Arabidopsis thaliana: one gene and its partners. The protein of the gene in region 3 interacts with the protein of the main gene of each other region in a pairwise test. Each region holds a gene or a part of one and is shown on either strand. Other genes may lie near its edges.

Evidence for each region.
Region 1: the proteins of AT5G22310 (region 3) and EXO70H1 interact in a two-hybrid assay, tested with the Arabidopsis thaliana proteins (one large-scale study listed by BioGRID).
Region 2: the proteins of AT5G22310 (region 3) and PKP-ALPHA interact in a two-hybrid assay, tested with the Arabidopsis thaliana proteins (one large-scale study listed by BioGRID).
Region 4: the proteins of AT5G22310 (region 3) and AT1G30860 interact in a two-hybrid assay, tested with the Arabidopsis thaliana proteins (one large-scale study listed by BioGRID).

What each region holds. Positions count from the first base shown.
Region 1 is NC_003074.8:20,439,642-20,444,671, forward strand, and holds EXO70H1 (exocyst subunit exo70 family protein H1), read right to left. Parts: upstream 3,010-5,030; 5' UTR 2,925-3,009; coding exon 1,014-2,924; 3' UTR 850-1,013; downstream 1-849. Other genes in the region: AT3G55140 (Pectin lyase-like superfamily protein), read left to right, coding at 1-120, 192-260, 348-584.
Region 2 is NC_003074.8:8,137,150-8,143,081, reverse strand, and holds PKP-ALPHA (Pyruvate kinase family protein), read right to left. Parts: upstream 3,898-5,932; 5' UTR 3,714-3,897; coding exon 3,111-3,713; intron 3,012-3,110; coding exon 2,921-3,011; intron 2,816-2,920; coding exon 2,622-2,815; intron 2,430-2,621; coding exon 2,308-2,429; intron 2,168-2,307; coding exon 1,689-2,167; intron 1,613-1,688; coding exon 1,311-1,612; 3' UTR 1,030-1,310; downstream 1-1,029. Other genes in the region: AT3G22961 (Paired amphipathic helix (PAH2) superfamily protein), read right to left, coding at 273-944; ARFC1 (ADP-ribosylation factor C1), read left to right, coding at 5,569-5,760.
Region 3 is NC_003076.8:7,382,626-7,387,977, forward strand, and holds AT5G22310 (trichohyalin-like protein), read right to left. Parts: upstream 3,209-5,352; 5' UTR 2,721-3,208; coding exon 2,292-2,720; intron 2,209-2,291; coding exon 2,116-2,208; intron 2,041-2,115; coding exon 1,117-2,040; 3' UTR 958-1,116; downstream 1-957.
Region 4 is NC_003070.9:10,985,523-10,991,839, reverse strand, and holds AT1G30860 (RING/U-box superfamily protein), read left to right. Parts: upstream 1-2,246; 5' UTR 2,247-2,593; coding exon 2,594-3,346; intron 3,347-3,445; coding exon 3,446-3,564; intron 3,565-3,651; coding exon 3,652-4,335; intron 4,336-4,419; coding exon 4,420-4,741; intron 4,742-4,829; coding exon 4,830-5,144; 3' UTR 5,145-5,344; downstream 5,345-6,317. Other genes in the region: AT1G30870 (Peroxidase superfamily protein), read right to left, coding at 18-305; RSH4 (root hair specific 4), read right to left, coding at 5,822-6,317.

The DNA of each region.
Region 1 (5,030 bases), on a different chromosome or scaffold from region 3:
TGTTTCTTTGATGGAACTAGGCAGAGACAACCTCGTCTCAGATTTGGAAAAGTTCATTTGTACAACAACTACACAAGAAACTGGGGAATATATGCTGTTTGTGCTAGTGTAGAAGCGCAGGTAAACTCTTTTGCAGATCTTAGATCATTGCTTGAGGTCTCACCTGAAGATTCTTATGTTTCTGAAATCAGGTGTTCTCTCAATGCAATATATACGAAGCAGGAGTGAAGAAGAAAACTTTTGAATACTACTCAGAAAAGGTTAATTCTCGCTTTTCATTTGCATCAGAGAAAATCTTGTTCTTATTTTGAATCCACCACCATCATCTTGTGTGAGTTTGTTTGTAGGCTGCTGACAAGGAAGAAGCGAGAACTGGGTTAGTACGATCTGAAAATGACTTGTTCTTGAATGGAGCTCAACCTTCCTTGATGACAGGAGCCAGTGAAGAATGTGTATTCCATCCAAGTGAACACTACCCAACATGGACTGTGGAGCCACCATCAGAAACTCTCAAGCAAATCATGCAAATTTGTACCGGTTGGCAATCTTTGTCCCGTCCTTCTGATCATGGAGTTCCTAAGTAATAGTTGCGATTCAAATGTTTTCTTGCATATCATATTTCCTTCTTTTTCTAGTTATTGAAGGAGTGAATAATGCTTTTGTTCTTCAGCACATTATGTTTACAGTATGCTGTGTGTGATTTTTTATGCCTTTTTCTTCTTTGTGATTTGTAATTGGCTTCTTGAATGTATATCACTGAATCGAATTCTTTATCAGATTTATATCAGCTTCGGTTATTAGAGACTACTCGTTTTATTCTTAAAGCGTATCGCAAGTTTGTTTTTTCTTAGATAATGAAGAACTCGTCATAAATTATGTAAAGAAAATCTCATTTTTTTTTTTTTGTTCTCATTTTCTGTTGCACACACAATGCAAACACACGTATCTACATTTTTTTCACTTCACATCATGTAAAAAATGGAATATTTAGCCAAAACTATGGATCAAGTCTCTCAGCCTGAAACACACCCAAGTGATTTCCAGGATGAAGAGGAAGAAGATGAAGAAAAAGAAGAGGATGCATGAATTGGTGTACCGTGGAAAAGATCAGAGATGTAATTCTCCAAATTATCTGGCTTGAATCTCACCAAGATCTCAATGTTTCTCTCCTGGCCGAGCATTGGTAAGTACTTCCTGTAAAACTCTCTGTATTCTGGTACAAGTTTCTTTGCTATTGAAACCTTTAGTTCGTCCCTAAGTTTCGCATTTGGTACAACTCGTGATGATTGTTTCATATATGCTTCCTCAAATGCCGTGTGAAATCTTCTGAAATATATTTTAGCTTCCTCTGGTGATAGGTCTGTGGGTTCTTCTGGTAAAGACATGAAAACATTGGACCATGCTGCTATCTCATAATTCCCAGCATAAGCGCAGAGTTTATCTTCGTGCTTATTGAGCCAATCATCTCCAAGGAGATTCCTTAGGGGAGTTGAACCAACCGTTTCAATGATGATCTGAAGGTTGTTTGCAAGGAAAAGGTAAGACAAAGAAACATCCTTGTAATGCTCTGCTTTGGTGTCTAGTTTGCATAGCAAAACCAGGATTAGCCAAGCAAAATGGACAGAGAGTGCGTGATTGTGTTGTTCATCTTCCGAAATTGGAGCTCTGACATAGGATTCCAGCAGGCGAGTGTTTCTCGGGAGTGGATGGTCTGCTAGGATTTCCGACAAGACTCCGCTGTACTTAGAAAGGGAAGAGATGAAGTTCATTGTTGATCGTGTCAGTTTATGAATCCCTCCTCCAGGTGTTAGAGCTTTCGTCGTATCTTTCTGAATGATTGATTCAAAATCCGTGAGAGCACTGTGGATTGAGACCTTTAGTTTTTGCAGCGATGTGAGCGCCTGAGATTTCACACCAGCTACTGCATCAAAGTGGAATATCATCTCTATGTCTTGCCAGAGATCAGAGATTGCAGCCTGCAGATCCATTAGCGGGAAGATCCTCTCGTGCGATTTCTTCTCCTTGGCAACAAATTCAGGGAACTTGAAAAGGTTAGTGGCTGCTTCGTTTGCAATCTCGTAGAAGCATGACTCCCTTGTTGAATTGGAAGCAGAAAAGACATGATCACAAAGAAGTTTCTCTCCACGGAAGAGCGTGGCAATGCCAATCTTTGCAGCTTTTATCCAGTTCTTGATCATATGCTCGAGCGTGACCCAGTCCGTTCTGTGAAATCTGGAGCCTTTGTAGATTTCAATCCCGAGCAAGCTCAGCCCTTCATCTACAATAGATTTTCTGACCCGCTTATAAATCTTTACGCACTCCTTACCATATCCGCAACTTATCATACTCTCTGCTATCGCCTTAAGGTCAGACATCACCATAGCTGAAGCTTTCTCAACCTGAGTGATCGATTCGCCAGCTTTCCTCATCTCATTGTCACTTTCATCGTCGTCGTCAGATCCCATAACATCTTCAAATTCAGAATTGCTGGAGATTGAGGATTGACCGGAAACTGATTCAGGATCAAGCTTGTCTCTGTTTGAAGATAATATCTGGAAGAACTCTTTTTCGAGCCTTGCCATGGCGATCTGCATCAGGGTCTGAGCTAGAGCAAGCTTTGGAGATTGAGAGTCTTGAGAGACAAGAAAGTGCATCGCTCTGCGCAAATCACGGACACATCTGATGAACTCTTTAGCCTCCTTCCTGCTATGGTTGAACAGAGAGACAATCTTGGTGAAGGAAGGCGTGTTCGGGTCCCATTTTCTGATGACGGAGTCCGCTGTCTCCACGGTTTCCTCCATCATAGCCTGAGTAAAGTTCTGGTTTAGAGGAGAAGCCGGGAAAGAAGTGAATGAAGAAGGCGAAGAAGGATGATATTTAGGAGATGACGAAGAGAAGAAAGAAAATTTCGCCATTTTCGCCATTGAAGAAGAAGAAGCTCTCTATTCTCTTCTTTCTGAATTGAAAGCGAAGCCTTTTAAAATGGTGTTACTTGGCTTTTACTCTTTCTATTTTAATTAGAAAGATGGTTTTTAACAATTATATAGAGAGCGAGATTGGTCTTGACTTTGAAAATGAAATCGATGACGATGTGCTTACCTGTGATTATAGACCCAGACCACAAAGAACCATTGACTTCGATGTATAATATAAGCCTTATATACTTAAAAGATAACTAGAGTACAAATTTTATATACATATGGGCGACAAAGTTTTTGCTATCCACGTCTAGAACTAGAATTATATGACTATTTCATTCTGTCAACTTATAATTTTATATAACAGTTAAATTCATCAATTTCATTTCATTTGACTTTTTATTGCATCATTCGCATTATTGATCACTAATTATACTTCTTGTTCGAATTTCGTATTGGAAGTTTTTTGACCAAAGAAAAAAAAGAAGACTAATAGAGTTTCACTAGAAAAGTCCGAAATTTATATATTTAGCGTTCTCTTATATAAACGCGTTTCTACATTTCAATTCTTGTGTGTCTGTCAACGTCTGCATTTCAGTTAATAAGTTATAGTTATCACAGTAATTAACGTTTTGAATCAATACTATGATACAATAAGTTGTTAACGCTGTCCTTGCAAACTAACAGCTATACGTTTATTGTAATAGTTAAGAGAAAAGTGTTACAAAATATTTAAGTTGATTTTACAGCCTAATGTTATATTAGCACTGTTGATGTGTCATAATCTGATAGTATATGTTTGTGCTTATAGAGGATAGAAAAACAAATCACAAATTATGTATTATATAAAACTAATATTCTTTCGTCTGACCAAAAAGATGATCATAAAAGATACGTACTATACTTCATGATCTTGTCTAGAAGAAAATAAAACCTATATTCCAAGTTTTCCCATACATTAGATATCATATACACAGACACAAGACATTCGCATGTTATGTATGTATGGTTTTGCAAGAAAAAGTCAAATATACGCACTCATAAATCATGATATAAAGATATACGAACCGGAGGTATTGGCAATTTCCAGGCGTTACAGATTCTTAAAAGACCAAAATGGAGATTCGCTTACCAAAGTCAACTACATTTACATATACATTTCAACTAATTTGGCTTCAACGTCGTATATACGTGAGTTGTCTAAATCATTATAAGAGCATATAAGCTAGTCAACGTTTTGTTTCGACGACTCTCTTTCTTTAAACAATGGCTAGTGTTACTTCACGTATTCGGTTACATTGCTAACGAACCTTAAAGAATTTAGTTATTGTAGCTGTCTTTTTTCCTTAAAAGTGGAATCTTCTTCAATCAACAAAGCAATGACTATTGATCAATGCCATCATTTGATTACAACTCACAGTTTTTGTTTTGACAATTATCTTGTTATATACATATGAGAGAAAATGAACTATAGTAGTGTTTAGTTCGTTTCAGATTGAGATTGATTATGTTTATGTTATTTGTTTTTTTCCCAAACTTTACTAAGGAAGATTGTAAGCTTGGGGGAGCCCTAACGAATCAGAAATGAATGATATCGTAAGTGCGAAAACAATTTGAAGACTGGACTGTGAAGCGGTCAACTCTCAGGCGTAGATCATCGGAGTAAAGACAATGCCAATGCAAAAGTCAAAAGTTTATAAAGTATCTTTGATAACCCCAAAAATGATAAGAACATAATAATCCAAGTGGGTATTTTTGACTTATTATTATATAGATACATTAAACTCTAATGTAGCTGGTTCTACTTCTAGTCTTCCTTCTACAATGTGTATTATCGTGTGACACGAACCAACATTTTGGATGAATAATATAAACATTTCTTTTGCTCGGAATGCTTACATGTTTTAGAATATGAACCTCTCCCTCTCCGGTATAATGATATGTTTGAAGAATTAAATCTTTTAGTTTAAATATATCAGAGGAGATCAAAGATCTTTGACAGCAAAACAGAGGTATACATACAACAAGAGAATATTAAACTTTGATGTCTTACTTTCTACAATGTTTTCTTCTTCTCTCATTCTGTATTATCAATGCAGAGAATAAGTTATT
Region 2 (5,932 bases), on a different chromosome or scaffold from region 3:
TGAAAAAGGATTCATTACGCCCTCCTAAGAAAACAACGTTTTTTTTTTTTTTTTGGTGAATAGAAAACAACATTGGAAGACTCGAATGCAAAGAAACATAACGAGATTCACAATCACAATCACAATGTAGCCACAAATCAATAATAAAAAAAAAAGACTAGAAAAATAAAAGAAACAAAACTCTCTTCACTTGTTCACATTGCTCTTTAGTTCTTGACGGTCATAGCTTCGTTTTTACCTTAAATTCTTTCGCATCAGTCATCTTCGTCTTCTTACTCTTGCATCAGTCTCTTCTTCTTCACTTGATCCAGATCATACTGACTCTTTGAAACGTATTTCCCATTTAAAAACTCATCAGAGGATGATAATTCCTCTTCAGTTTCAAGTCTAGTCTTATACTCTTCTGCCCCCGCCTCAAAACCACGTTTCGGTTTTTTGAGTAAACGGGAATCAACTAGAAACAATATGAACTCCTCTTTAAGAGATGCGTGATCGCAGAGAATCACGTCGAGTTGTTCAACCAAATCCACAATATCACCGCCAAACACCAGCTGATTTAGGAACGCACCGTGTAAACCCTTTCCCAAACCTTCCACTTTCTTCATCAACTCAACCGTGCGTTCTACGTCTGATTTTGCCGAGTTACAATCCTTCTCTGTGATAGGTGAATCTAATAGAAGAAGCTGATGGAATTCTTGGAGCAGAGCGTCGTGGTTACGAAGAATAGAAGCGACTTTGGTTTTGAGATCGATGTAACTTAAAGACTTAGATCGATAAGACTTCATTGCATTTAAAAATTTAACGATGATTGTCTTATCATCCAACTCTTTAACTTTTTTCACGAACTCGCAACTCCGTTGAATCTCTTCTTCCGAACAATCCGACGGAGTTTCATAAAAATCTCTCTCTTGATTCTTCATCCGAGGTCTCTTGCAACTTTTCATGTTTGTTCAAATATCTTCTCTAATGGAGAGGCGATTCTAATTGTGATTATATATACACTATTTATAATATAGGGTTATGGTATATATTCGAACTCATCCTATTTGGGTTTACATATATATCCTAACAAAAAGATAAAACAAAAGGACTAAATGATAGAATCGAATATTTGAATAAGATTACTGATATTATTGAAAACCAAAAACAAACAGTACACACTACAAACAAAGCTTACACATTACTGTTGTTAACAAACCGAAGATGATGATGCCTCTGGAATCTAATGTAAGAGTAGTCTAAAAACAGTAACAAAAGTAGGAAACAAAACACTCTTTTGCGGGATTGCGAAATTGTATAAAGAGAGAGAATTACGGGACGTTCATTACCTGGATTGATTGCAGCATGTCCGAGACTGCGATCACGAGGTCACCAGATTTGATCATACCTCTTGATTTCAGTAACGAGAATGTTTTGTTCAAGTTGCTTTCCATGTCGTCTGAGAAGCTGAGACGGAATGGGATAAGTCCCCATTGTAGGTTTAAGCGTCTTCTCACTGAGGTTGTGGTTGTGAAAGCAAAGATCGGGCAGTCCGGGCGACATCGGGAGACCAGTGATGCCATGTGTCCGCTCGTTGTGTAAACGAAAACCGCGTCCACTCCAAGATTGTTAGCTGCAAGTTTTTGGATAGTAAAATGAGACACTAAAGACATATTGCCTTCTATGGAAAACAAAGAACCTAAATTTACCCATTTTAGCAGCTGAGTTACAGATCTCTTCTGAGATTTTGTCTGAAAATGAAGAGCCTATGGCTTGAAGCGGTACAGACTCATGGCGTTTCTCTTCCCTCCACCATCTCTCGATTCTTAAACTGACAGTCCTTAGAACCGTGAGCGCCTTGTCTGGGAATTGTCCCATAGCTGATTCTCCAGAGAGCATCAATGCATCTGATCTTTGTCTTACTGCTTCAGACACGTCGGCAACTTCTGCTCTGGTTGGAGTTGGGTACTCAATCATGGACTCCAATAGCTGTGAAGCGACAATGACGGGTTTGTTAAGAGCTCTGCATACTTGGACGATTCTCTGTTGAGCTGCTGGAACTTGCTCAAGAGGTATCTGAGCTCCCAGATCTCCTCTTGCAACCATGGCCCCATCTGATGCTAGAATAATTTCTTCCAAATTGGTCAGTGAATCGATACTCTCGATCTTTGCAATCACTCCAATTTCCCTGCATCATAGTTGAATACAACATCAAAATAAAACTATAACTAAAGATGGTGAATACATGACGCAAAACCCAATCCCAAAGTAGATCATATGTTTCCTGTACAGTAGTATGATGTGTTGATATTGAGCATGTTTACTTACCCTCCACGGGAACGAGCAGCAAGATAACTTTTAAGGTGATTAATGACTTCAGCCGACTTGACAAACGATACAGCAATGAAATCCACACCTTCAGCAATTCCAAAATCAATATCCAACCAGTCCTGAATATAAAGAATTGAGGTATCATCAGTGAAAATGAGTATGTTTTCCCTCAGGTATCATCTGTTTTGCTAACATGGACTCATCTAGTTTCCAAAAGTGTACATCTTCACCATTGCTTTGATCCCTCCCAAATTTACCAAGTAAAGTGAATCATAATTCAAAGCTTAAAGGGAAGATACAAAATTACAAACCTTGGAAGAAATTGTTGGAAGCATGGCATTACGCTCTCGTACAAGACTTCCATCTCTCCAAAACGTCAAGTTAGCTCGAGGAAGCAACAATCCAGGATCGGTACATAGACACTTAACATCAGGACCAATCTTCTCAATCACTTCAAATCTCACCATCCCACCATCAACCAAAAGTTCATCCCCAACTCTTACATCTACACCACACACAAAGACCAAATGATTCCTATTTCATACGCAGTCACCATAATATTCATCTAATGTTTTCACTTCCACTTTTACATAAACATAATTGCATATACCTTCAGCGAAACCATCGTAGCTAACACTAATGGTACGTTCAGGACGAGAAGAATCAAAAGCTCTAACAGTGAAAGTCCAAACCTCACCATCCTGTAAAAATGTCATCACCACCAAAGCTTAAACATCTAAATCACAAACACAGCAATGTCTACATCGAATTCAAATCAAAATAAGAAGAGATTAAACAACCTCTGCTTTAGCTGAAGCTTCACCACCAAGATCTCCCATATGAATCTCACTACCTTCAGTATCCATCATAATAGCAACCGCAAAGCCTTTCTCCTCATTAAGCCTCCGAACACTACGAATCACACCGCGGTGCCAATCACGCGTACCGTGACACATATTAAGCCTTGCCACATTCATACCTCCCACAGCAAGCGCCTCAAGCTGCTCAAATCCACAAGTCGCCGGTCCGATCGTACAGATCAGCTTCGTCCTCCTCGTACTTCTAAATCCATTCTCCTTAAGCTCAGCTTCCGTCACAGTATCAACCTCAATCCCAGACGTATCAGTCGTAACCGCCGTAGCGACAACGGATCTCTCATCAGACTTCACAGCACCAGTACCGTTAGGTGAGAGAAGTACTTGCGAGGATGATGATGAGGACGATGAATCGAGATCCGGTGAAGGAGATGATGACGAGGAGGCTCTGATGGAAGTGTATTTGATGGTTGTTAGAGGGAAGCGACGGAAGGAGATAGAGGAGAGAGGACGGTTGAATTGTGAGTGAGGGAGATGGAGAAGGTGAGGAGTGTGTGAAGGAGTGGAGAATTGAATAGACTGAGACATGGTTTCGCCGGCGACGGAGGAAGAGAGATCGGAGAAATCGAAATCGAAATCTCAGGACAGTTGGCTCTGAGGAGAATGAAGGCGGAGATATCGAAGTGTGAGAGTGTTGAATTTGGATTTTTTTTTTTTTTTCTGATATGATAGGACTTTGGGAGAGAGGTTATATTTGGAATATTTGTATTTGTATTTATATATATATTCTATGTTTTGGTGCCGTCGAGGCTGTATGTAAAATAAGTGTACCTACCCACCTAAGAATGATCAAATTAGATTTTGTGATTATTACTATTATTATTTTTAATAAAATATTAAATTCGACCAAGAAAAAATAAAGTTAGGATACATCAAATGTAACTTTTCCAAAATTGTTTTGAAATTAGATTATACAAGAGAGGTTTTAAGGACTTTTAGATGCAAACCATGTTTGGAGATTTGGTTCGTATCTACTATATTTCTCCTTTCAAATGATTGAGAGTTTTTTTTTTTTCCAGCTTATCTATTCACTTAGGAAGATGTGTGATAAGAATCAGAGTTTTATTGTGTGTTTTTTTTATTGCGTTCTCGCCAAATCGAATGAACCATTATTTGAAAACTGTATTAGAGGAAGAATATATGGATTCTGTTACAGTGATCAGAAGTAATAATAATGACTAGAGCTTGCCATATTGTAGAGAATCGTCACTAGAGTAGTGGTTTCGCTAGGGAGGACCAGACTGCCGACGAGTACTTACAGCTGAAAAACAAGTGCTCTCGTGTCTCGATAAGAGTGTTACATAACACACATGTTCGATTCAAGTTCACATTCCAAGCCTTCATTGAATCTAATGTAGAGAGTCGATTCCGCATTGCTAGCCATATACAAAAAGAGAACTATCAACTATGATAGGATCTAAAAAATCCAATTAGACTTTTCTAGAACTATTATATATATATATATATATATATATATATATATATATATATATATATTTTAAATCATCGTATACAATAACAAAAATAAGATTCGTTACCAAAATTAGCACAAATTTAATAATAAAATAATCAATATAAGCATTTAATTAACATTTCACACGATCGTATTATAACCATGATTTCAAATTATAATTAAATTTGTTATTTTAAATCCTCAATATAATTTACTTCTATTTAATTTTATATACTTCTGTGGGCCGAGAAAATGTAATTGTTATAATCTAAAATATATGGAAAGGCCCTAAGCCCGTTTGAGTTTTTTTTTTTCTCGTTTAAAAACATCTTTGTGGATTTCAAGTCTTCAACAATGTTCGTCTTTGGCGTCGTGGCTAATGGCGGTGACGTGTTCGGTGCCATTACGGTAGAGGCTGCAGCCGTTTGGGTAAGTAAAAGAAAACATTACTATATAGTTTTCATTTTAATATTTGTTATATTAAAAGTTATTAATAATTTAGATCATCATATTTACAGTTTTGACATTGTTTCCCGCATACTTTTCTTCTTCTTCTTCTCTCCACCCATCTGCTTTAAGGAAGGAACCTCAAAAGCTTACAAAATAGTAGAAGAAGAACTTTTTTTGATCTCCGATTCTTACCTCTGCAATCTTCAGATTCTAGCTGATTCAAGGTTTGATCACAAATTTCCCGATTTGTATATATATAATTTAGATTTGGTTAACTTTATCGAATCTGGGATCGTTGTATCCAAATCTGATCTGGGCTTCTCTGATTCAATTACTTGGGTTTGTAAAATTGATGGGTCAATTTAAAGGATGTATCTTTAGGGTTTCTCGATTTCACTCTGTTTGTAGAACAATTTGATCGTAAAAGTAATGATGTGTTTTATTTGATTAGGATCTTGTTTGTGATAGAAATTGGAGGAGATGGGAGCATTCATGTCGAGGTTTTGGTTCATGATGTTTCCTGCAAAAGAGTATAAGATTGTTGTTGTTGGTTTGGATAATGCTGGTAAAACGACGACGCTTTATAAACTTCATTTGGGTGAAGTTGTTACTACTCATCCTACTGTTGGTAGCAATGTTGAAGAGCTTGTCTACAAGAATATTCGCTTTGAGGTACTGGACTCTTTCTTTATTCATTTGGGTGAAGTTGTTTCTTAGCTTCTTATCTAGGGACGTGTTTTAGAAGTTTGAAACTTTATGGATGTTTCTTAAATTTGCCATTGCCATCTTTTGATTGTGTTATTGTCCCTAGCTATGTTTCTTGCTTGGGTGTGTGCATTTTTCT
Region 3 (5,352 bases):
GACCTTTCTCATTCAATGAGAGAAAATTAGTTAGCCTAGTGGCACTATATTATGCTTCAACTTTAGTAGTTTTATTTTGTTATACGAGTTAATGATTTATCCCTAAACTATGTAAAAGTATGAAACAAAAAAAGAAAGACAAACTTTTGGAACCCAAAACCCCTTGATTTGGTTTAATGGTACATATATATATGGTTCTAAGCTAAAATATTATATTGAGTGGGGGACATAGAGTAAGGCTGATTGGTATATGCATATATCTTTCACACGAATTGACCTATTACCTAATCATGTGTATATATGATCGAAAAATGAAGATCCGTTATTGTTCGTTATTGTTCATGTCATCTTATTAATTTTTGTAACTTTTTTGGTTGAATTGTTACCAAATATTCCCAAATAGGGTAAAACGTAACGGATATATAGTTGAGACAAAATCACATGGGAAGATGGAACGATGCTGTCCAAATGTCTAGACAATAATAGAGAAAATGTCTTGTTTCGTTTTTGATTCAAAATCTTAAACTAATCCTTTCTTGAATCAATTATATATCTCATTATTGTTCGTTCTTATTCTCATTGTTGTACTAATCATTATGATTTAATTTACACCAAATCAACGTTTCCATGTGTATATCTTCAATGCCACCAATAAATAAGTTCTTTAATAGTTATATACAATGTACAATTCACCTCCAATTCATTCCAAGCATGATTTGTTTGGTTTCCCCTTATTCTCTACATCTACATTATGGTCTAATTAGAGTTAGTTACAAACATAAAAACTCGTACGTAATGAATTGTTGTTCTCTAAAATAAGCACTTAAGTTCCGTAATAGACTTCAAATTCTGACAAATCACTTGATTACAAACTTGAAACTTCGATCATAAAAACGGAATATTTTGATAGAAAATGCAAATAATGATTTGATTGGATATGTGTAGTAAATTGAGGTTAAACCATTGTAGACGAAAAAATGTGATATACCGGCAAAAAATATTCCGTAATTGATTTTGTATTTCAAATTAAATTGAATAAATTACAAATACTGAAATATTATATACTATAAAAAAAAATGATTTCTTTTTCTTCCTCGCCGGCGCTAGCGGTGGTGATTACACAAACTCAGAGCTTGGTAAATTCCGATGATTCCACTGCTCTGACGATGAAGGACCAATACATCTAACATTTGAAACAATGTAATCTCTCAAAGTCTTCAAAGACTCATCTCTCTCACCATTCTCAACAATCACTGATCTCTTCTCCACCGGATCATCATCATCATCATCGCCGCCGGAGCCATCAAATCTCCGACGATCTTTCAGGCTATCAACATAACCCCATTTACTACCACTCTCCATGTTCAACTCAATGGACTTAAGATCACTCTCCTCATCATCATCAGAACCAGAACCATCAATCACCTCCAAAATCCTACGAATCTCCGACGACCCTTTTCCTTCTTCACCATCCAAAACCCGCCGGAGCTCCTTCTTCAGCCGCTCCACGGCGGCGTATTTATCTTCGAACTCAAACTTCGCCTCCGTAAGCTTCATTTGAACTCTCTCTTCCCTCAAAACATCAGCTATATGCATCATCTCTCTCTCTTTCTCCATCTCCTTCTTATCATCTCCGATTCCTTTAGTTAGCTCATCACAAACCTCTTCAAGAACATCTTTAGCTCTCTTCTCTCTTTTCATCTCCTCCTTCATCTTCCTCTCTGTTTCTTTAGCCTCCGTGAGCTCTCTCCCTAATCTTCTATTCATCTTCTCTGTTCTTCGCCGGAGTTTTCTCTCAACCATCGCCTCTTCTTGTAGACTCTCTATCAACCTCCGCTTCTCCTCTTCCTCTTCATCTAATTCACTCATTAGATGCTTTAGTGAAGATCTTGCTCTGTCTAGTTCACATAACAAAGCAGAGATCAAACGATTGCTTGCTGTCTTGTGATCATCTCCGAGCTCACCGATCCTTTTTAATACCTTTACCAGTTCTTTAGACGTTGTTAATCCGTCACTGACATTCTTGAAACGAGTTTTCACCTGTAATATAATTAAGAATCAGACCTTTCTTCTTCCGCAAGAAAAGTGTTTTTAGGGTAAGATTGCAAATCATACCGAGTTTGCGCCAATGATTTTGTATTCAATTGGGTTTAATTTCTGAGGATTTGTTGATCTTCTACGAATCATATCGTCACAGAGATCGATTCTCTGTGCAATTTTGATTTTTCAGACTTAGAATTTCAGAAAGAAAAAAAACACAGAGGAAACTTGAAACTGAAGCAAACCCTAACCTCTGAGCTTAGACGAGAAATCGGATCGGATGATCGTGGCGGGAAATCAATGGAAGAGAACTCTGTTGATTTCTTCGCTCTGTATCTCGATGGTTTCTTGCTTCTCAAGCAATCTTTATCAGAATTTACCGGAGGGTCTGCGTCGTCGTTGATTTCCCACAGCGTCGCAGCTAGCTTTCTCGCCGACACGCAGCTTTTCTGCAATTGATGATGATCTATAGGAAGATTTTCCGGCGAAAACGATAACAGAACTGGAGTTTTAGCGGCGGTGATGGACTTAACAGGAGTTCCTGAGCCACCGTCGTCTTGAGCGGCTCTTTTCCCGGCGAAAATTGCACGTTTGAAGCGGTTTCGACGAGCAAGTGAAGAAGAAGAAGAGGAAGAACCACCTCTCTTCCTGATCTTACAACCTTTCTTCCGTTGTTCCATAGTTGATATTCAAAACAACAAATCAGAACACAAAATTTTACCAAATCTTGCCGGAAAACAAGAGAAAAAAATAGGATTGAAATTGGTGCTTTTTAGGAGAAGTGAGTCATCTTCTAAGATCAGAAGCAGTTTCTGGAAGATTTTGTTTTTGAATCTCTAAATAGACTTTAAAGTGAGTGAAAGAGAAAGATAATACAAAAAGTGAAAGTTAAGATGATGTTTTTACTTCTTCTTAAAAGCAAAAGAAGAGAAGAGTAATAAGATTCTTGATCCCTTTGAAGACGTTGTGATTTGTGAAAAAGAAGTTTTGAATCTGGGAAATTGTGTTTTATTTTCTTGGGAGAAGAGAGATGTTGAAGAAGAGGAAAGAAAGATGGAGACAGTGTGGTGTTTTTGTGTTTGTGCGTTGTCTATTTGGGCAATGTAAATTTTCTTTGGAGGGTTCATGAACCGATGTTGTCCAATTTCGTCATTAATTTTAACAAAAATAATTTCATAATCAATGAGTACAAATATTGTTGCCGCTAACTCATTAATGCAACAATGACTTGCAAAAAGATATCATGGAATCCATGTTTCCAAATTAGTGCTTTCTAAAGAGTTTAGAATCTTTAGACCACAAGTTAACCTGGTTTGATCGGATTAGACAGGATTCTATTAAGTTTTTGTAGGCTTTTCTGGAGAAGAAAAAAAGAAGAGCATCAAATAAAGACAACGTACTAGATTATCAAAACTAGCATTAACCTCTATGCTAACGTCAAAAGCTAACATGTGTTTTCTAGAACTTGCCAAAAGTCGAACAGAACACGGGTTTAGGTCACAATTTAACCTCGTTTGATCGGATTAAGACCCGACTCATTTCGTTTTTGATTAGTATTTTTTTTTTGGGAAATAATATGAACGTCAAAAGAGTTAAAGACAACGTACTACGTACTACTATAAAGTAGCATTGTTTTCAACAAACATGAATATGGGTGACATATTTTGAAATAAATGAATATGCATAGACAAGGCAAGATACATGAGCCAAGAAAGTATACTCCTTTTTTCTTATGTTTTAGGAAAAAAAATTGTATTGAATTAGATGATGTTTTTTTATTTTTAATGCAAAATTGATTAGTTTTTATTGATTTTGACGATTTATATCATGCAGATTGTTCAATTATGATTGAATAGTGTTTAGAAAGATAATATATAGTATTTTTGTTTAAATGCGAATATTTGTTATACACAATCCAAAAACACAAACAGAAATATAATTATTATAAATCATTTTCGTTTAGGATTGAATAGTTCTTCATTTTATGTTTTAGGATTGTGTTTATAAACTTATGGCTTTTGTCTAGAGAGGTAGGTATTAAGATCAATACACTAAAATTTTACAGACAGTTGTTATAAGTTATTGGAATTGTCGCACATCGAAACTTTGACAATTTTGACACTAATATATATAGTAGATGTTCAATCATTGCTAAAAATCTCTCATTAAACAATCATAGTTACACAATGAATACATGGTTTTAGATTTTTGGATTCATAAAAAAAAATATTGCTGCTCTAAAACATATAGGATTTTTTGAATGTAAATCAGACATAAAATTTCCTAGATGCCTTAACGATTACTACTATCCAATCATAATTCACAACTCAAAACCAATGATTGTCTCTATACTAATTTGAACACAAGTTTTGTGATTGGCATATGAATTATGAAAGACAGGCACATGCTGAGTACAAATAATAGTAAATACTTATGGAACATCCCAAAGAGATAGATGCCTTCTCTGCCAGTCAAATCAAATCCATCCTCCAGATTCTTTTAACTCCATTACAAATAATTTAACATATTACTAATTTAAAAATAAATTAATACGAGTAAAAAAGAATTTTAAAATGTGTGAAGACTAGAGAAGTGCCACGATGATAGAAGAAAAATACAACATAGATGAACGGTTCAGATTAAAAAGAGTTCTAGTCTGTTTCTCTTTTATTCCTTTGAGTCTTTGACTACTACTCACATATCACATGGAGAATTTGACAAAAATGTCATATCACTATACTTTTATTCAATATACTAACTACTCTTGCAGCAGCAATCTAAACTCTACTTTAAAAACGACGTTCTTTTTTGTCAAATAAGCTAAACTAAAAAAATATCGTTTACAATATACAATACATACTATGGGTAATTACATACATTCAATACGGGTAGATACGGACATTTTGAACTAGCAAATCGGTTTTAACATTAGCATTACAAAACAAACATAGGAAACAAAAGAAGATGACAAAAATTTCTAACTCTTCTCTACGTCTTCATAATATATCACAAATGTAGACCACATTTACACCTAATCGGAATAGTCTGCACTAAAATTAATTTAGTTTTCTTTTCTGAAATCAAAATTCAAACTTCTCATTGTCCAAACTAGTGTTTCCACATTTTTCCTAGCATTTAGCTTGTATCATTTTATTTCTCTTTTTTATTACACACTAGAAACTAACACAATAAAAATAACAAATATTAAAGCGTGAATAGAATGGTCCCATGGTCTAGTGGTCAGGACATTGGACTCTGAATCCAGTAACCCGAGTTCAAGTCTCGGTGGGACCTATTCTCCTTTTTTTGTTT
Region 4 (6,317 bases), on a different chromosome or scaffold from region 3:
ACGATTAATTGCAATACCGTGACGCCACAATCGTGGAAGATAAGGCGGAGGAGGGCGGGACCAAGGGAAGAGTCACTCTTAGTCCATTCCCTCACTTTCGTAACAACGATTTTCTCAAAATCTGGACAAATCCTATCATAATAATTCAACGATAATAGGTTGTCCAAAGGGAACAATGACTTTGTATCATCATCGTCATCGCCTCCGTATCCTCCCGCTCCAGGTAAGTCTTTTCGGCCAGCCGATACCGGCCAAGCCACGAGAACTCCGAGTATGACAACGACTGAGACCACGGCCAACTTCATTATTTTGCTTTCTTGATATCTCTCTCAATTTGATTGGCTTTGATGAATTTGTTTGATGAGAGGTGTGTTGTGTAGTAATTTATATATACAATTGGGTTTGGAAACTAATGTGATGCTTTTACGTGGGAGGCACAACTTTAAGATTTGAATATTCGAGTGACTTGCCTGCATGTCGTATATAATGTTTATGATATATAATTTTTTTTTGATCAAATGATATATATTAATAGTATAATTTTAAAAAACCTTTTTACAAGAGAAAAAATGATATAATGATCTTTACATTACTGAAATCAGGGTTTTGACTTATTTGGATTAGATTAATTGTAAAATTTATTTGTCAACAACTTCCATTGATTTAATTTTGTTTGTTTTTTGGTCGGTTATGTGAGACTATTATTATTTTATTTTGTTGTCTACAATTAACATACGTATATATACACTGGATGATGACATCAAAGTATGTTTTCGAGTAATCCGTAAAGCAAAATGTGATATATCGAAATTAACAAATTTTTTGCACAATCATTAATAATGAATTTGCTCAGATCCTCTAACAAAAATAGCGATATTACCTCTGCACATTTTTTAGCACGGAAAAATAGGTCCATTAGAGACATGTTGACAAAAAAAAAAAAACAATTCACCATAGGCTACGTTTATTGAAAATTGATGCATCTCAACAAGTTTTCAAACGTTCAAATTTTGAGTTTTTTTGAACTATACAACAAATTCTCACTAGTCAAAACCTTAAACTTTTTCATATATTTTTCTAGTTTTTATAATTTATATTTCTTACAAATAATTGTAGAAAACTCAATTTTTGGGTCATGAAAATCGCCAACAGTGTGAAAAGAGGCCAACCAAAAGCAGTTGATTCTCTAGAACTCATTGTTAATAACTGAAATATATGTATGTAAACTAATATTTGCTAGAATTATAAAGGAGAAAAGAGTACAATCGAAGTCGGAACCAACGCCGGCCGGTCGGAAAAATCACAGAAGAAAAATCGTATCAATCGCTTTTTCAATCGTCCATCTTCTTTATCTACCGGATAATACTTCCTAATACTTAAACTTTAAGAAAAAAGATTGTCAGCTAGCTATACGAAGTGTGGAAGAATACATTATCACATATGCCGCAACTAATATAAACGATACCCAGTTACCTGAAATATATATACGAAATATATGTCGTATGTGCCAATATCATAGACACTAAGTCTCGATTAATCGGTCGTTTTACTCTATCGTTGACTAATCGTTAACTCATCGGGATCCGAAAATGATCGGTTGTGAACCTTATTATTGGTTTCAATTATCGTTATTTTGTATAGAGACTATTTTTTCTTAAATCGTTTTATAAGAGTCACAAATCACAACTCGTCCTAAGTTCTCTCTCTATTCGACTAACCCAAGCACGACATTGACCACTATGCCTGGGCCTATTGACCACACTACAATAAAATCGCACACTACATGAAACTTGGGTTGAACATCTAATTTTCTCTAATTAAATTATTTTTACTTTGCTTAAAAGTTTTTGTTCCTGTCAGTTATACAATTTAAAATTGTTTGTTATCTTTAGTTCTTCAATTTGATTTATGATGTGGCATAAAATCCAGAAAGTGCATGGTTCCCACTCGACAACGGCTAAATTCCTCAACGGCTCCTTTTTGACTCTAGCATATTTAGGAGCCTTAATTATTAAATAATTTAATCACCCTTTAATTAGTATAACAATCCAATGTTAATTTTTTCATGCATTACACAATTAAATGCTTTTACCAGTATAATGACATGTGTTATACAATATCTTTCAAATTCAATTTTGTCCAAAATTATAAGTAGCTTTTTTATTTTTCTATAACAATTTATCACTTTTGGCCACATAAGGCTTTTCTTTCTCTGTATTCTTACACCTCATTCTTTATTGCCTTGTTTTACAGACACGTTCCCCAGTTTAAGGGACAAAACAGAGCCATTTTAGGACTCTTAACATTTATAAGTCCTCTTACTAAATAGATAAGCACAAATACTGTTTGGTTCTGTTTTGCTTCTTCATCATCATCGTATCTCCACCGTTTGTTTGTTGTTGTTCTGTTTCTTTAACAGGAAAAAAAAACAGAGAGAAAAATCTGTCTCTTCACTAACACAAATCCATTTTCTCTTCTTCTTGTAGAGAGACAGAGAAAACAGAGTTGTCCTCTAACTTCTTTCGATCGATTCAAAAACTCTAATGATTATTTGATTTTATGTTCGTTTGTTCGATTCTTAGATCGTAAAAAAATGGTGTCTTCTCCTCAGAGATTCGGTTTAATCTTAAGAGATCGTAACCAAAACGCTGGCGTTTTTCAAAAGAATCTGAAATCTCCGGTGAAAGAGGTTTTGAAATCTCATGTCTCCGATGAGAATTTAGTTGATTCTTGGATCGAAACTCACAATAACAAGAACAATCGTGTTCTTGAATCTCCGTTAGAATCGAAGAGAAACGACAATCTTGTGGCTTCTTCTTTGGTTCAGATATGGGAGGCGAGGCTAAACCGATCCAACGGTGGAAACTCGCCGAGTAGCAGTCAATCTACGGCGAGTAGTAGTAGTCGGAGCGATTCAGGAGTTAGTGTTCAAGATTCCGGTCTTTCAGAATCTTCATCAATCGATGGAGATTCTGAAATTGCTGATCGAACGGTGGAGATTGAATCTAGGTCACATGGTTTGGTTTCTGATTCCGGAGAAAGTAAATGGGGACGAGTCGCTGACCTAATTCGGAGGCTTAGCAACGAAGACAAGAAACGAACCGCTGGAGATAATGGCAGCGGCGGTGGCGGTGGACTCGAGATTATCAGAACGCCGAGGCCTTATTGCACTTCGTCGTCATCGGAGAAAAGTAATTTTCCGGTGGTTAGTTTCTCTCCGAAGATACGAGGACGACAAGCGTTTACCGATTTTCTTATGCAAATGGAACGTGATCGCCACCGTGAATTGGATTCGCTTTTTGAACGCAACGCAGTTTCTAGGTTTACTCAACGTGGTCGTCTCCAGGTAAATTATATTTTCACTATTTTGATAAAAATAACTAACATATTTGTGACTTTATTCATAATCCACTAAATGGTTTTTCTAATTACATTATTTAACCAGTCAATGCTAAGGTTAAGGAACCTCAATCGCTGTCTTGTGATTCAAGATAGAAACCGGTCTAACGCAAAAACAACCGGATTAAACCGAATTGAATCAGGCTCTGCTGTTCTGCATTTAAGGTTTTTTCAGATTCTCTGTTTTATGTTTTGAGTTTAGTTCTTAGGGTTTACTTTCTTCAGATTTTCAATCTTTGATTGGCAACGCAGGGAGAAATTTCATGCGAACGTAGTAAACTCTGCGGCTGCAACAGATAAGAGGAAGAATCATCAACGATCCACTGAGATGAACAACAAATCCGTAGAAGAAACAGAAGGAACTACTACCACAAGCACGAGGTTAAAGGATGGTGGTGTTACTCTCGAAGCTTTTTTCGCAGAGCGGTTGAGACCCCGTAACCGCAAGATAGAGGAAGCAACGTTATGTAAGGAAGAAGAATCTGTAAGTGGAACAGTTGATTCACAAAAGAATTGCCTTCAGCTGCAAGAAACAAGAGAAGTAGAAGAAACTTGCAACGATGGCAAGTCTGAAAAGAAAGAAGAAGAAAATACTAGCCCGAGTGAATATTTATCTCGAGAATCGCGGTTGAGACAGAATCAAGACGAGAACAATGTGGGAAAGTATATGCAAGAAACTCGAGAAACAGAAGGTCTAGTTCATGAGAGTAATGAGATGGACCAGTGCCTTGATCAACAAGAAACATCCTATTTGAATAGATGGGGAGAACAAGAAGAGTATGCAGATGAGCAGTCTTATTATGGAGAATATAACGACGACTGGCTTAGTGAAATAGCTAGGCCTCGGAGTTACTGGGAGGAATTGAGGAAGTCACGGTACCTGGAAGTAATGAACACTAGGTCTGAGAAAGATGACATATGCAGACTCCTTGAGCGGTAAGTAACCATCAAAATTGACAAGCTCATGTTTCTTAATGGTTAATAACTGACTAAGAAAATGAATTTCCCTGCTTAATACAGAAGAACGGTGACAGATTTCCTCGACAGCGGGTTGCGAGAGAAGATCGATAATCTCATGATGTCCCGTGTACAGACACACTCGGATAAGCACTCCAAAAAATGGGAATTGCAACAAGAAGAAGAGGAGGAAGTAAATTTTGAAATTGATGAAGAAATCAAAGAAGAGCCATTAAGAGGAGGTGAAGAGCAAGATGATAGAGATGACTTGAGCCAATCGTCGTCTTCACATATATCTGCATCGTCTCCTGCAGGATCATGGAGTTCTCAAGACACTGATGTTACTTCCACTCCTGCCTTGGTTGTTCAGAATCCTCAGTCACCTGTGAGTGTTTATCGATTTCTTGTTATACTATAGAAACTCGCAACCGCACTAGTGGTAAACTCATTGAGCCGCATATAAACGTTTTCAGGAAATGGAGCTGATAAGCGGTATGAGATCACAGATCCAACAGCTTCAGCAAGAAATGTCAGTACTACGAGATTCTGTCAAAACGTGTTTAGATGCTAACGCGAGCTTGCAACACAAGGCTCACCAAGAAAACCCAATGAAACGAAAATGCTGCGTCTGCGACGAAACACAGGTCGAGGCGGTTTTGTACAGGTGTGGACATATGTGCATGTGCCTAAAATGTGCCAACGAACTACATTGGAGTGGAGGGAAATGTCCGATTTGCAGAGCTCAGATTGTTGACGTTGTTCGTGTCATCTACGATACAAGAAACTGAAATCAACCGTTTTGAAAACGCTGAAGAATTCACTAACCCATTAAACCCTCTTTTCCTTATCGAGTTTGCGTTATTTGGCGTTTTGGGTCTGAATATCGTATTATGCTCTCTTTATACAGTTTTTAGGTTATGTTACCAACACTTTGTCCAGTTTTATGAAGTTTTTGATCTCCTAAACCAACCAAAAAAATTAACGGAAAATAGCCTAAAAATAAACCTTAAAACCTGAAAAGGCAAGTCACAAACAGAGCTTGGAAACATACATGAATTTTTGCAATTACTCTAGTAACCATCATTTCATTGATTTTGATACCTCATTGAGTACACTCTAAAAATTGTAGATTAAAGTCTGAAAACAGATCTTCGATGCAAAAGTGAAGCACATAGATTATAAAATACTCTCATAATCATCTACTCTTGGTCAAATTTATTTCATAAAGATTCAACAAAGCCAAACAAACCCTCAAAAATTGGAGATAGAGCTTCTAAGCAAACACTAAAAATTATACTTTTTGAGTTGTTTTAGAATCATAAACCCTTTATCGATTTTGATTTCTCAAAGACTCAACACTCTCTTTCTCTCCATAATATTTACACATCATCCGTAGATACATTACACTCATTTCATACATACATATTATAAATAAAACTCTGTGTTCTGTTTTTGTTTTCCTTATTCAAGCGTTTTGTGCGGTCAAGAAGGTGTTGAAGTCATCTCTAGCCTTACGCAAACGTGGAGTGATACAAGTTCGAGGCGAAGTAGGGCACGAAACTGAAGCCGATGAAGACGAAGTCGAGAACCTAACACGACGTTGCGGTGAAGACTCAGCTGATCTCCGGTGATCACGAGTACTCCTCGTCTTTAAAACGCTTCTCAGAGCCAAAGTCTCTGTTTCTCTATCGAATAAGAAACCAGAGGTCACCGGTTCTTGCACATCTCTTCCTCCATTTCCACCGCGGCTGTTGCACTTCGTCATCTCAACCGGAAAATCGAAAAACAACCGACCGTTATCTTGAATAAGAGCTGTCGTCGATGCCCAAGAACCGCATTCGAATTTCTCTAGCGAGGCGCGTACAGAAACAGTTGATCCCGTGAAGGAAGAAGCTCTGATCATCTTCTTCTCCATAGAATTTTGGCGTTTCGAAGAAGATCTAATCAGCTTGTTCTTTCCG